Linked DNA regions of Mytilus edulis. The protein of the gene in region 1 binds, or shares a complex with, the protein of each later gene. Links are inferred from orthologs where the notes say so. Each region holds a gene or a part of one and is shown on either strand. Other genes may lie near its edges.

The links.
Region 2: dystrobrevin beta-like (region 1) and beta-1-syntrophin-like share a complex: the UniProt entries of both Caenorhabditis elegans proteins name them as parts of the dystrophin glycoprotein complex. The link is inferred for Mytilus edulis from reciprocal best matches to the Caenorhabditis elegans genes dyb-1 and stn-1.

What each region holds. Positions count from the first base shown.
Region 1 is NC_092344.1:122,599,276-122,607,602, forward strand, and holds the start of dystrobrevin beta-like, read left to right. Parts: upstream 1-4,645; 5' UTR 4,646-4,718; coding exon 4,719-4,968; intron 4,969-8,327. UniProt on the Caenorhabditis elegans protein: Plays a role in cholinergic transmission and as a functional partner of dystrophin (dys-1), necessary for muscle maintenance. Required for localization of ctn-1 near dense bodies in muscle cells.
Region 2 is NC_092348.1:91,641,937-91,650,746, reverse strand, and holds the start of beta-1-syntrophin-like, read right to left. Parts: upstream 3,877-8,810; 5' UTR 3,859-3,876; coding exon 3,399-3,858; intron 1-3,398. Other genes in the region: uncharacterized protein, read left to right, coding at 4,805-5,810. UniProt on the Caenorhabditis elegans protein: Adapter protein that binds to and probably organizes the subcellular localization of a variety of membrane proteins. May link various receptors to the actin cytoskeleton and the dystrophin glycoprotein complex (DGC).

The DNA.
Region 1 (8,327 bases):
TCGTCTGTCCGTCCGTCCGTCCAGGTTCTGGTTAAAGTTTTTGGTCAAGGTAGTTTTTGATGAAGTTGAAGTCCAATCAACTTGAAACTTAGTACATATGTTCCTTATAATATGATCTTTCTAATTTTAATGTCAAATTAAAGTTTTGACCCCAATTTCAAGGTCCACTGAACATAGAAAATGATAGTGCGAAGTCAGGTTAAAGTTTTGGTTAAAGTTTTTGGTCAAGGTAGTTTTTGATGAAGTTGATGTCACATCCACTTGAAACTTAGTACCCATGTTCCCTATGAAATGATCTTTCTAGTTTTAAAGCCAAATTTCACGGTCCACTGAATATGGAAAATGATAGTGCGAGTGGGGCATCCGTGTACTATCTGACTATGGACACATTCTTGTTTGTTAAATAATTTGTAATTTATGTGCTTTTTAAATATTGCATAAATTTGTACATTTTGTTTATACAAATAACTCAAATTCATCAAATGTTCATTAATGTAGAAAAATGTCATTTTTTGCTGTATATTGATTAAATTAAAAAAAAATGCACCATTTACGTTTTCATGAAAATTGGTACACGTAATCTTCTTGCATAATCAAACCAAATGTCATTTTAAAACAGAGGGGTCTATCAACTCTTTTTCCAGTTAAATCAGTTTGAATGATAAAAATCAGTCGAAAACTGTATCTTTTCTCGATAAGTCAACGTTTGATGTTGCAAAAATAACAATTTACATTAGCAACATCATTACCTCCCCTGTAACTGTATTGTATGCCCTTAACAGTCAGAGCTCAGACATAAACAAGTCTGAATCTGCTTTTGACTTATAGATGTCTAAATTTGTAAGTTTTAGGATTTGTCTCCCTTTAATGCAAGACAAAATACGACTTGAATAAGTCAAATATTGTTAAGCAAGAAATGATTGACCAGAATCAAAAAGTTGCAAATATCAACTCCTACAAGTCGATAAGTTACCAAAATTGGTCAACTTCAAGACCCACACATACTTATAAAAAGGTCATGCATCTAAATCAAATAATGACAACATTGAAAGCCAATGCCTTGTCTTCTAAAGAAAAATATGAATGAGAGTCTGAAAAATCGGGGATCATGTTAAGGTAGATCATAAGTAAATATTTTTTGAGACAGAATTTTCTTATACTTAGCCAGAATGAAGATTTTGATATGCTCTTTTCAAATATATAATAAAAAGGAGGGGTTACCGTGCTATTTTTCAAGCTATGAGTCGTTGAAAATTGCCTAAATTTGGTTAGATTGTTCATGGGAAAACACATTTGTGTGCATAAAAAAAAATCTATGAGATAGAATTTTGAAAAAAATTGTGAAAAGATAGGTTTTGTAATATGTTTTAAGAAAATAAAAAGAAAAAATGGTGTCACCGAACTTGTTTTCTTGCTACAAGTAAAAAGAAAAAAATTCCCTATCTGTCCAGTATAAATTTTTTACTAAAAGAGTTATCTTCCCTTAAATGGCTCGTTTGAAAAAAATGATTCTAAAAGCAAGAAAAATTATATTTGTTTAAATATTTTGGATTATACAATAAATTGCCAAGTTTTCTTTATATTATTAAACAGTCTAACCAATAAATTGCAAATCTGTCTTCAAATTTGCAGATTTAGGCAAATAACTAGACCGATTTTTTACTGTGATTGTTCAATCCAAGATGGCGGTATACCATGAATCTACCTTAATTAACCTTACAATGCAACCACCTGGATCCACCCTTAATGAGGTAAAACATCTGTGTTTAGTAAGAATGTTCAATTAGATAATTAAATATAGATAGATCAAGTCCTTGTGAACTCTCCGACAGGTTTTTACTGTCAAAGGTGGTGTAGTTTGGCCACCAAGTCAAGTTAAGTTTTTTCATCAACATAAATAGACCTAAACAAGTCTGTCATTTTGTGACTTAGATAAGTCTAAAATTGAAAACACATTTTTATAAAGAATACATGTTTTGACTTCTTTAAGTCAAAAACAGAAATAGACTTGTTTATGTCTGAGCTCTGACTGCTTAAAGGGGCACTGGCTGTCAAATTCATTGTAACCGATTTGACTCAAATTCTCATATTTGGTTTATAACAATGTAAAACATTTATCCAAACTATCAAAAGTCTAAAATAAACAGTTTACAGAGCATGGGGTAGATAATATATAGGTTCGTTTCGTGTGTATTTTAGTCCAGACGCCATCTAATTACCTATCGATTTGACCTCAGATGACCATATAAGCGATGTAAACAAAAATAAAGATACAAATAGATTAAACCAACACGTGCAATTGCATTTTTATAGGTCTGTTTGATTTTATTCTATAGATTAAAAATAGATGTTTCTCATTGTTTTTAACCATAAAAGAATGATTTTATGTGCATCGAATTAGTTATCAAATGATTTACCGTAGTTTCACTTTCATTGTTGACATTCTTTTTCTTTAAATAACCAGTACACGTACAATGCATGCGTTGTCAATCTCTAGCTAGGGGTTAACTTGAAGTTCACATGAATACCGGTTAGAATGATGATGACGTTTTCACTTGCAAGTGAATCAGTCAAAAATTATGTTTAATCGCTTATTTCAACAAAATTAAAGGAAATTGATTGTTAAAAGCAAATTATTATTTCATTATTTCAATTCGATTAATGATTGATCTAAAAAAAATCATACTTTATTTCTTTATATATATCGTAGCTAGTGCCCCTTTAACAGTCAGTTGTAAGAAAAACAAACTGACCTTAGATTATGACTACTTTGTTGTATGTGCATAACCATAATAACTGTAGATGGATAGTATGTACACTTTGTATACTCAGATGTTAAAAGTATGTCACTATTTACCACTTTGATAAGGTGGTACACTCTACTGTTCTTTCACATGGTGTCAAATAGACTGTGCTATTGTCACACATCAGTCACACTAATTACAATCATTGTTACTTACATGTTTGTTATTAGAAGAGAGATTCCATTGTGCTGAAGCTCTGTTCAGACCTAATTTTATTTGCTGATGGCTAAAGGATATATTATTCTTCATGGAGCATACTAATTACCGTATAAAAGTTTGATGAGAAAAAAAATGTTTTTTCATATTGATTATTGGCCCTGAGGGGGTTCTACGCTTGAAAAAATGCAGATAAGGGATAAATGTTAAAATAATTTGCTTTTATATAGAAAAAGATATATGTGAAAAAAAGTGGTTTTGAACAAATTGTAATATTATGATTATTGCTTATTAACATGATTATAATGTTAAACAGAATATAGATAAAACATACAAGTCACAACCTGTTAAAGTAAAAACTACATTAACTAGACAAGTACGGTACTATTGGAAATTCACATTTCAAATTTGCTGAGTGATATTTGAAGGGGAAATTTTTTCATGATAATGAAGTATAAAAAAATTAGAAAAGCAAACAGAAAAGTGAATATTGGAGAAATTATGATTGAGAAAATAATAGTAATATTATTTTTTACTAAGCATTCACAGCTTTATAATGTATAAACAGGTTGGAGACAAAAGATAAGCATATGCTACAGAGAATATTAGTGAAAAATTAAAAAGTTAATAGATTGTATTTAATATGATATGAACAACATAAAATAAAAACTGAGAATGTAACAGGTGAATTTATAGGATAATCAACCATCTATCTATTTCATGCTTTCCTTATAAAGGCGGTTGTTTTAATGGATATTAAAATTCATCAAATGGAAGAAATTATAAAATGATGCTGAAAGGTGATGGTACAGCATGTTTATAAAGATGGCTGATCAACATGATCAAATTGGAATGAACCATAATTTGTGTTTCTTCTAGATAATAGAATAGCAGAAGGATTTGAATTGTGACTTAACTTGAGTTGTCTCAAGTAGAATTGTTTGTTAAACAAGTTTTACTCTGCTTAGAAGTTGGACCATGGTTACATGAACGATATGGAACATTGTGTTATAACACTACCATGACTAGCTAGCTCATGGAATATATGTTCTTTCTATACATTTATACAATCATGTTTTGATATTTGAAAAGGAGATATTTTATTATTTGTTACATAAACGTGGATTTAAATAATTATCAGAAAATTATACTTTATAATTATATACATGTCATATATATTTACATGCAAATATGCATTTTTAGGATAGGATTATGTAAACAAATTTGATGAGATGTTTAGCTAATTATTTAGTGAAACATGATTATGTTTTATAACATGATACATGTTATCTCAAAAACTTGTACATGTTGTATATGAAATTAAAAATAGGACTATAGTTTAGGGGAAATGAAATGAATTCTCAAATGTGGAATGCTTTTTACCCTTATCAACCAATACATGCAGGAAAAGTTAATTAAACAATATGCTTAAAATGTGTACAATTCCCAGTCTCTGTATTACTCTATAAATATTGGATTTGCTGGATTAATTCAAATGACATGGAATAGAAAATGTTCAATATAAAACCTGTTTTATGTGGATTTACTACTTAATGTTGACTTACAACAAAAAACCTGCTTTGTCACTAATTCTATTTAACAATAGGAACAAACATATCATATGGTACTTCCAATAGTTAATAGCTTATTAGGTTTTCCAATATTCTTGGTTTTATTTAATGGGATATTAAGTGAAGTATAATTTTACACTGGATATGGTTTGTTTACTTTGTACATGATGTTAAATTTATGTGATTCATGAATAAAGAAGAATCAGCAACATGGCCACTGGTCACTTCATCTGACCAATCAGAAATCAGCTCGCAAGATGAAGATGAAAAACAAAATTATAAACTTTTAAAGAGAACGGGATCAAATGACTCTGTATGTGAAATTAATAATAGTAAGGAATATAAGAAACTGAAGCAGTTTAGGAAAACCAATAGAAAGAAAAAATCCAGGAGTAGATGTTGTGTGGGCTGTCTTTGTTGCTTCAAGGGAAATACAGGTAAATCATATCAAAACTCACATGCTAATGGACAGGTAAATCATATCAACATTCACATGTTAATAGACAGGAAAATCATATCAACACTCACATGCTTATGGACAGGTAAATCTTATTAACACTTATATGTCAATAGACAGGTAAATCATATCAACACTTACATGCTAATAGACAGGTAAATCTAAGAATAGATGTTGTGTGGACTGTCTTTACTGCTTCAAAGGAAAGACAGGTAAATCTTATCAACAGGCACACACTTATAGACAGGTAAATCATATTAACGTTATCATACTTATGGACAGGTAAATCCTATCAAACTCACATGCTTATAGACAGGTAAATCATATCAACACCTACATGCTAATAGACAGGTAAATCATATCAACACTAACAACACTAACATGAAATAGTCGGGTAAATCATAATAACACTCACATGAAATAGACGGGTAAATCATATCAACATTCACATGCTTATGGATAAGTTAATCATATACACCCTCACATGTTAATAGACAGGTAAATCTTATTATCACTCAGATGATAATAGACAGGTAAATCATATCATCACTCACATGCTAATAGACAAGTTAATCATATCATCACTCACATGCTAATAGACAGGTAAATCATATCATCACTCACATGATAATAGACAGGTAAATCATATCAACACTTGCATGCTAATAGACAGGTAAATCATATCATCACTCACATGATAATAGACAGGTAAATCATATCAAAACTCACATGCTAATAGACAAGTAAATCATATCATCACTCACATGTTAATAGACAGGTAAATCATATCAATACTCACATACTAATAGACAAGTAAATCATATCATCACTCACATGTTAATAGACAGGTAAATCATATCAAAACTCACATGTTAATAGACAGGTAAATCATATCAAAACTCACATGTTAATAGACAGGTAAATCATATCAAAACTCACATGCTAATAGACAGGTAAATCATATCAATACTCACATACTAATAGACAAGTTAATCATATCATCACTCACATGTTAATAGACAGGTAAATCATATCATCACTCACATGATAATAGACAGGTAAATCATATCATCACTCGGATGATAATAGACAGGTAAATCATATCAACACTTGCATGCTAATAGACAGGTAAATCATATCATCACTCACATGATAATAGACAGGTAAATCATATCAAAACTCACATGCTAATAGACAAGTAAATCATATCATCACTCACATGTTAATAGCCAGGTAAATCATATCATCACTCACATGATAATAGACAGGTAAATCATATCAAAACTCACATGCTAATAGACAAGTTAATCATATCATCACTAACATGCTAATAGCCAGGTAAATCATATCATCACTCACATGTTAATAGCCAGGTAAATCATATCATCACTCACATGATAATAGACAGGTAAATCATATCAAAACTCACATGCTAATAGACAAGTTAATCATATCATCACTAACATGCTAATAGCCAGGTAAATCATATCATCACTCACATGTTAATAGACAGGTAAATCATATCATCACTCGGATGATAATAGACAGGTAAATCATATCATCACTCACATGTTAATAGACAGGTAAATCATATCAATACTCACATACTAATAGATAGGTTAATCATATCATCACTCACATGTTAATAGACAGGTAAATCATATCAATACTCACATACTAATAGACAAGTTAATCATATCATCACTCACATGATAATAGACAGGTAAATCATATCATCACTCATATGATAATAGACAGGTAAATCATATCAAAACTCACATGCTAATAGACAAGTAAATCATATCAACACTCAAATGATACTTCATTATGTCTCCCTTACAATTTAATGAGAAAAAGATATAGTTTGGAAGTTCATACTTTGAACTAGAAAGAGAACCAAAAATTAATGCCAAATTAAAGTTTGACCCCAAAATCATGGTCCACTGACCATAGAAAAATGATAGTGCAAGTGGCGCATCCGTATACTACGGACAGGTTCTTGTTTCTGTAAAGCACTTACTGGCATTTATTGCAAATCCTAATTTCATATGAACACCTTCAAAAGTATTCTCTGAAAGAAACTCTATTGATTCAGAAAAAATAGGAAAAAATGGAAATAGTAATTGAATTTCATTTAAGATGGAGGAAGTACTATATATACTACAATATGTTAGTATTTTATGTCCTTAGACCTATAGTGAAGTGTATATTACTTTATAATTATCTGTAAACGACCAGTATTGATCTATTATGCTATATTGTTAATGTAGAAAATAGGCAGATTGATGGATGGAACCTTTAGTGAAATAAATTATTGAGAGTATGGAAACTTGTCTGTAAATAGTACAGCAACTATAACCTGAAGGAAAAAACATTGGAAAGGATCACATTGGCTTTTAAAGTTGAAATGATCCAGTCTAGTCCTAGGTTCCCCATGAGTTAATGTATTTACATATTTTCTGGCACATTGAACCTCAAGAATTTCTAAACCTAAATATTGACCTACTGGCTGTTAGTCTCAACTTAAGCATTGAGCATGAAGGCTAACACAGCCTGTTTGACCTTATATTCTTCTGTGGACTGTATTAAAGTCTTTCCCATTATAAGGCCTCATATGTCTACAAGGCATTTAAATTTATCTTTGGGCCATTACTTTAAGACATGAGACTATTATTGATCTTGCGGAAATATTGTCTGTAGTGTAATATAAAAAAGAAGATGTGGTATGATTGCCAATGAGACAACTTTCCACAAAAGACCAAAATGACACAGACATTAACAAATATAGGTCACCGTACGGCCTTCAACAATTAGCAAAGCCCATACTATTCACCACAGATATTAAACTTTCTGTTAATTTGGGTTCCACAAGGCTGACATAGAAATGTCATCTGTCCATCTGTTAAAATTGAAAAACATTGTGTATATAAAGAAAAATTGTTTATCACTTAGAAAAATACGATTAAATAAAATATATTGTAAATGATAAATTTTGAACTAGTTACTGACACCACCACACATACCTCAATAGAATGTCACAAATGGATCATGTTGATTGGTTGTCTTTAATAATTTTATGAGTTATTGTAGTTGACATGCAAAGTTTAGTAGGATAAATATAAAAATTACTGTACAGATATTTTAAATTGCATACACTCATCTGCATCTGCAAAAATATTATCATCTCATGGAGGCTAATTAAATTCTAAATTTGTTTTTCATCTGCAAACATATTTTGTGTACAATATTGAAATATGATAATTCTACAGTGAATTATGTCATAGTAAAACTACAGGAAAGTTTGACTATCGATTGAATGTGCATCTTTTCAGTGAAATA
Region 2 (8,810 bases), on another chromosome or scaffold:
TGAAGAGCCTACAATACACCTGTCTGACAGTATCTTATCAATTTGTGATTACAATTTAAATGATCACCAAACTAAACAATGCAGTAGTTAATTCTGTGTAACATACATCTACATGTAAATGTAGGTTGCTTCTTCATGTTCTTAGGCAATCTTTATCATGTTTATACAAGTATTTTAAGTATGTCTTACTAGTTGTAAATGTACTTTTGTAACCATGGTAACTGGTACATAACTGTTCAAATGCATATAGAAATTCATTTTTAACATGGAAATATTTATATGAAATGTCAAATGGGGAAATAGATGAAATTACACAAAACTCTAAACAAACATCAAAATATCACTAAAATAGCAATCCATTAATATAATGTCTTTAACTAATCCGTTTTAAATCTTTAATACATGTACATGTATGTATTTGATACATTTGTATATATATATACTGTATATATATATATATTTTTTTTTTTTCTTTGCTTAACAGACAAAGTCATGAAAGTGATGTTACAATTGATTAAACAGCACTTAAAGTTGCATTTAATACTTATGATTCGTGATAAATAAACTGAAGCAAATACTTTACTTTAATTTTTTCCTATATAATTGTAGACTACTATGTGACTACCAAGATAAAATAATATTTGATTTTTTTTTTTTAAATCTCTTTAACCATGCAATGTTCATGATGTTTAAGACTGTGAGACTTCAAGAGATTTATAGATTTTGGTAGCTTCAGACTGAAAAACTATCGGAACTGCTCAATAAATTAACCACACATTTCTAATCGTAAATAAATACATTTTTGTCATAAAGTAGATAGATATTATCATGTAAAATGACAAAAAATGGTGTTTCAATTTGATGTGACGTGTTTTATAATAGTTTCAGAATTTTGGATTGCTATCGACCCCATTTCTTATAACCTGGTTTGCATTCTGTACACTTCTGTGATGAAATAAATTGGATTATAACAATTTTGAAGTGACAGATTATAAGTTTGATAAACATGATACACTAGCTGGCATCACTTTAAAACTATAGTTTGAATGACATATTTTATTGATATTATCAGAAACTATTAGGATAATGGCAAATACTTTTTTTAATTCATGTCCGTTTCAGTATCATATATTTATTAATAATGACCCAACGATGAAATCAAAAGCAGGCAGCCACAGTGGGCCCCCTAATAAGAAAATTTCTGGATCCGCCACTAGCATGACTAGAGGCACCCTGGGTGGGACGGATTCTGGGTCCGTCCGCCCTGATTCTGGTTCGCCCTAGTTTCTGTTTGCCCTAATACCTGTTTGCCCCAAGTCTGTTCGCCCTGATTTTATTTTTTAGTAGAGTGTTGCGTTGTGTCTATATAATTGAATGTGTTGAAGTCAGTCTACAATTTGGACGAATAATTACGATGTATCATTTTGTTTATAGCTAGCTGCTACCAGGTTATAAGTTTCTGTACATTTCAGGACTACAAGATATTGTGACTTCAAGGTATTTTAAATGTAAAACAACTGAAGACTAAATTATTTGTATGTAATTGAATATATGTTGAAGTTTAAATTCACCGAATATTTATTTATGATGTATATTGTCATCTGTGGTACTGCTATAAGGAAATAAATTTCTCTGAATTTCAGCACTACATCGTATTTTTAAAAGTAAAACAACTGAAGACTAAGTTGTTGTCTTGCTGCTACGAGGATAAGTTTCTGTGAATTCAAAGACTACAAAGTATTTGACATAAAACAACTGAAGACTATGTCTATGTTCCAGACCATATGAGTATTTGGACCGTACGCGTACGGTCCGGACCGTATACGTATACTCGTACGGTCCGACCATACGCGTACGGTCGGACCGTATGAGTATACGCGTACGGTCCAGTACGAGCTGACCATACATGTTATTTGATCATATGGGTTAAATGGAAACAAGCATTTATCACAATCTTTATTTTTAGTTTTACAAATTGTTATTGATAATTTATTACAATTAGATAGATAAAATGAACAAACGAACAATTGAAATTAAGTAATTGTTTAATTTTATCTGAATCCCATTTTGGTACTCTCTCCCAAGGTGACACAATTCAAGTAACGTAATATTTTTTACATTTTCATGTATGCAGTTCATGCATGTTCCTTTGCATTTTGCTTTTTTTGGTAAAGTTGCTAAATATTCTAAAACAATTGTCCTCCCACATTATGTTTACTTCCGATATCTTCAATTTCAGTGATCATAATTCAATTAATGTATTACTGATCGACATGCTTAATACAAGAGATTAACAGATTTAATTAGCGTGAATTTAAAAAAAGTTAAAATATAAAGTTTTTGTTTCGATTACAATTGAACTTTTTTAGATTAATTTGAGTTAAGTTATGTTGATCTGCTATATGCATTTGTAACTAATAAACTTCACCAACTTTTTAATATTAGTCAGACCGTACGCGTACGGTCCGACCGTATGAGTTTTTTTGAAAAAGTACGCATACGGTCCAGACCGTACGCGTACGGTCCAAATACTCATACGGTCTGGAACACATATATTTAACTTTATTGATACATTTTAACAATTTGAAAATATTCAGTAACAGTTTAATATAACAAGATCAATTCCGAACTGTACTTCGCACACATTTATTTCCTAATCGAATATTTAAAAGCACTAATTTGAATTATTATTTGTGAAACAAATACCAAAAACACAGTCACACTGGCTGCTGTACATCACTTGTCATCAGTGTTTTAACCCATCCAAGCTGACTATTTTATTTGAGAAAAATGTTGTTTTCATTATTAATCCATCAAGGACAATTCATATAACAATCGGTGATATCAAAGATTTCAAATGATACATTATCAGCAATCAAAATTCAATGAACAGTAATTAAAAGTTAATAAAGTGTAAAAATGCAGCCAAGAATTTTATTTAATTAACACAAGGATTTGTATGTACTATACAAATCCTTGATTAATATAAATTTGGTAAATATTCTGTATTTAACTTTTAATAGATATACATTTTCAATATATATATCTATATACATGTGTATATTTCGTTCGTTAATGTAACATATACATACATGTATCATAAATGAATATAGGGCGAATGAACCCAGGGCGAACAAACTCAGTGCGAACGAACCTAGGACGAACATGTACATGATGTAATCAGGGCGAACGAACCCGATACCAGTGGGACGCATCTGAGCCTGATTATTCTATTTCTATAAAAATAAATGCGACTCTTGGATGCGTTATAAGACTATAATTAGCTGCGGAACCGTAGCTCTTAGGTCCTTATGTTATTTTTTTACTATTTGCGGACCAACATAAGGACCTAAGAGCTACGGTTACGCATCTAGACTATAATATGATAATTTGATTACCTTCTATATCTACAACTTTTTTTGCCTTTTTCAATGCTTTTACAGCATCATCATGAGTTGCTTCCCTTAGATCTTCACCATTTACAGACAAAATAGCATCTCCTACATAAAGCTTTTCAGTTTTGTCTGCCGCCATTCCTTTGAAGATTTTACTTATTAAAATTGGCATTTTATTCTCTTTTCCACCTTTAATACTGATTCCAAGGCCATTCTGTTCCTCTTTAACCACTCGCACAAGTCGTTTTTGCCCGGCGAGACTGTCTGGTAACTGGTCCGTTTTAGGAAGTGTGCTAGGTGCATCTGATGATCCAAGAGTGCTATTTGCTAACTCTGGATTTTCATCAAGTGTTAAAGTCAACGAATCCTCATTTAAAGTAACGTAAACTCTGCACCATTGCTGTCGAATATATACTTCGAACAGCCCAGATCTTGGCAGACCAGCCGCCATTTTGACAACCATCGTATCACGTGATTACTGTACTTACAGGGTGGGAAATTTCAAAGTTCTTTTTGGATAACATTCCGTCTGAGGAAACAAAAGATTGGGCTTGCTTTTTACGGTTATTTGCCTCTTACTACTATCAAAGGACTTGTTATCTACTTTTGTAATACAGATTATGAAAATAATGGTTTTTAATATTTTTGTAGATTTTTTTTAGAGGTGTTCGATAATGATTAAAATCAAAGACATATATATAATGATCTATAATACATGTATTATATGTCTCTGATAAAATATATACATTTGATGGTTCTTTTAATTCTGTTGACAATTATGAATTTTCTACTCTATACACTACACTTCAACACAATCTTATCAAGAAAAAGTTTTCCGATATTTAATTGAATGGTCTATTAAAATCGCATTGCAAATTTATTATATAACTTGTTGAAAGCCTTTTTTTCTGTAACGAAAAAGGAAAGTATGCTAGATACACATAATGGAAATGTGAAGATTTGATTGAAGCTTTAAATTTCCCCCTAACCTACATATATGTACGTTCGGCGATAAAATGTGTCGACAGGTAAGGTATCATTATGGGCATTTATTGTGTCCCTTTAATAGCAGATTTATTCCTGTATTGCTATGAATCACAGTGTATGACCAATCTCAGTAAAGACACGGCATTGTTACATTTGGTTGATATATTCAACAATACCTACCGTTATCTTGATGATATATTGTTTCGTTAAATAATCCAGAGTTCTCTAATGTACAACAGAAATTTACCCAAATGAACTTTATTTTAAATAAATCTAACATAGATTTAGACATTTCAATTTCGAAAGGGAAACTCCACATTAAAATTTACCACAAAAGAGACGATTGTTCATTCCCTATTGTTAATTTTCCTTTCTTTTTTAGTCGGCGATGTACCTTTTGCTTTATATCATACGATGTATATATGGATGTTACCTCCCTCTACACTAATATTCCACATGCAGATGGCATCGATGCATGCAAAGAAGTTTGGAATTCCAGACCAGTGAAATATCCACCTACTGAATGCCTGGTCAAAATGCTCACGCTGGTACTTAAGAAAAACAACTTCACTTTTGATGGAGATCATTATTTGCAAGTAAATGGAACTGCCATGGGCACCAAAATGGCTCCGTCATATGCCAACATATTTATGGGCAAATTAGAGAAACAACTCCTTGAAACTTCCATCGAAAAACCGCTTTCCTGGTTTAGATTTATAGATGATGTGGATATGAAATGGAATAAAAGCGACGAGGATTTAGACACTTTTATCACTCATGCCAACAACATACATCCAAGTATCAAATTTACTCATGAGAAGTCTAAATCCAAAATCGCCTTCCTCGATACTTCAAGTTCGCTCACAGAGGGCATCATATCTACAGATTTATATTCTAAGCCTACTGACACTCATCAATATTTGTCCCCTAAAAGTTGCCATCCTGCTCATCTTACCAAGAGCATTCCATACAGTCAGGCACTTAGAGTCAAGCGAATATGCTCCAACACAGAAACAACTAAAAGACAACTGCGTAAACTTGAAACTCGCTTGAAGAAAAGGGGCTACAAACACAGAAATATCAAAAAAAGCTTTCAGAAAGCGGAGTCAATTCCGAGGAGTGAACTATTGGAATACAAAGTTAAAAAGAAAAGCAAAAGGACTCCATGTGTTCTAACTTATCACCCATCTCTCAAAAACAGCTTTGGTGTCATTCGTGAGCATTGGAAATCAGTTGAAAAGAATTCCAAACTGTCCAAGATTTTCCCTGAGCCTCCAATGATAGCTTTTAGGCAACCTAGTAGTCTACGGAACCTACTAGTGCGGGCTGAAGTGTCTGATAATAGAAGTACTTCTGGAGAATGTCGTTCGTGTGGAGAAAAACGCTGCAAATGCTGTTTACAGATGCAGCATTCGTCAACATTTCACAGTAAGGCAACCGAAAATAACTATAAGATATTTTGCAATGTTACCTGCAAAAGTATGAATGTTATTTACATACTAGAATGTTCGGTTTGTGGCCTCCAATATGTTGGTGAATCAAAGCAGCCTTTCCACAAACGCCTCAATGGCCATAGGAGTGATATATCTAAGAAGCCACTTCTTCCAGTCTCTCAGCACTTCAGACAGTCAGATCACAAACTTGATGACTTTAACCGCATGAAAATTCTAGTGATTGAACAGAACATTCACTGGAGTGATGCACAGCGACAGGTTCGGGAAAGCTTTTGGATAAAGGAACTTAATGTACATCACCCAAACGGCATCAATAAGAAATACTAACAGTTTTGTTTTCACTTATTTTTATTGTTAATATACACAGTCACGTATATTGATTTATAGTGTTTTGTTTAAATTATGATATTCAGGATTAAAATCAATCGACCAAAACTTACCTGTATTATCACCTGATCTATTTTCACACCTTATACATTATGTATCAGTATTGTTAAAACTTGTGACACAAGAAGAAGGCCATTTGTTGAGCCGAAATATTTGTCAACACGATTTTATAACAACATTTTCGTTTAATAACACCTTATATCAGTACCGTTGTGCAAATCTTTAGACTGATATAATTTTTTCCTTATCTGCATAGTATCGCCTATTCTAGACGATCCGGTACATAGTAAATTTGCTGGTTGGTCCTTTTTATAGACTTTTATATATATATATATATATATATATATATATATATATAAGTACGTCTGAGTCAGTGACAACCCTACAACAGATGTATCCATCGGATCGCCATCAATGATGGTGATACATGGCTGTGTACATAATGTATATACAACTCGTCTAAACATCAACCCAACAATGTTAGATCTGTAAATTTGCTTTCGCAAATTTTTGGTTCTTCCCTCGCCGGGATTCGAACCCATGCTACTGTGATATCGTGACACCAAATCGCCTGCACTGCAGCCGTCCCGCTAGACCACGCGACCACCTGGGCTCTCAAAAAAAGAGCTTTCGCTGGCCGTGTGTTACCTTTCCACGTCAGTTTTAATCTAGCGGCGTACTGCAGTACATGATATATAAGGCATGAAGATGTTATTGTTACAGATCAGCTAAATTATCTATAGTAAAGGATCCTACAAATGAATGTAAGATACAGTCACAGAAAATAATTATATTTATAAGTACGTCTGAGTCAGTGACAACCCTACAACAGATGTATCCATCGGATCGCCATCAATGATGGTGATACATGGCTGTGTACATAATGTATATACAACTCGTCTAAACATCAACCCAACAATGTTAGATCTGTAAATTTGCTTTCGCAAATTTTTGGTTCTTCCCTCGCCGGGATTCGAACCCATGCTACTGTGATATCGTGACACCAAATCGCCTGCACTGCAGCCGTCCCGCTAGACCACGCGACCACCTGGGCTCTCAAAAAAAGAGCTTTCGCTGGCTCTTTTTTTGAGAGCCCAGGTGGTCGCGTGGTCTAGCGGGACGGCTGCAGTGCAGGCGATTTGGTGTCACGATATCACAGTAGCATGGGTTCGAATCCCGGCGAGGGAAGAACCAAAAATTTGCGAAAGCAAATTTACAGATCTAACATTGTTGGGTTGATGTTTAGACGAGTTGTATATACATTATGTACACAGCCATGTATCACCATCATTGATGGCGATCCGATGGATACATCTGTTGTAGGGTTGTCACTGACTCAGACGTACTTATAAATATAATTATTTTCTGTGACTGTATCTTACATTCATTTGTAGGATCCTTTACTATAGATAATTTAGCTGATCTGTAACAATAACATCTTCATGCCTTATATATCATGTACTGCAGTACGCCGCTAGATTAAAACTGACGTGGAAAGGTAACACACGGCCAGCGAAAGCTCTTTTTTTGAGAGCCCAGGTGGTCGCGTGGTCTAGCGGGACGGCTGCAGTGCAGGCGATTTGGTGTCACGATATCACAGTAGCATGGGTTCGAATCCCGGCGAGGGAAGAACCAAAAATTTGCGAAAGCAAATTTACAGATCTAACATTGTTGGGTTGATGTTTAGACGAGTTGTATATACATTATGTACACAGCCATGTATCACCATCATTGATGGCGATCCGATGGATACATCTGTTGTAGGGTTGTCACTGACTCAGACGTACTTATAAATATAATTATTTTCTGTGACTGTATCTTACATTCATTTGTAGGATCCTTTACTATAGATAATTTAGCTGATCTGTAACAATAACATCTTCATGCCTTATATATCATGTACTGCAGTACGCCGCTAGATTAAAACTGACGTGGAAAGGTAACACACGGCCAGCGAAAGCTCTTTTTTTGAGAGCCCAGGTGGTCGCGTGGTCTAGCGGGACGGCTGCAGTGCAGGCGATTTGGTGTCACGATATCACAGTAGCATGGGTTCGAATCCCGGCGAGGGAAGAACCAAAAATTTGCGAAAGCAAATTTACAGATCTAACATTGTTGGGTTGATGTTTAGACGAGTTGTATATATATATATATATATATATATATATATCACAACTCGTTCGTTATGCCCGTGTATGTAGTGATGTCATAGAATTTTCACGAAGTAATCAATGCATCATTGGTATATGCATGTTCTCTTTTCGCCCCTTTTCTATTTTTAATACATGTATCTGGAAAATAATCAAACTTCCAAAAAGCGAAATAATTAAAACTGCATGTTAAGTATAGTACTTTGAAAGTTTGATGAAATATCTAAACTAATACAATTTTTAAATGATTTTAGTGGTTTAAAAATTTTAGTCATTTGGTGAAAATTTCAAACTGATTACGAAAATTTTGGAAATAATGGTATTTTTTATAATTAAAAACAAATAAATTAGTACTGATAAGTGTTACACGGACCGACCATAAAAGAGTTTGTTTAGGCGACCGACTCCCGATTGTACTTTTCTGGTTTTACCTTCATAAG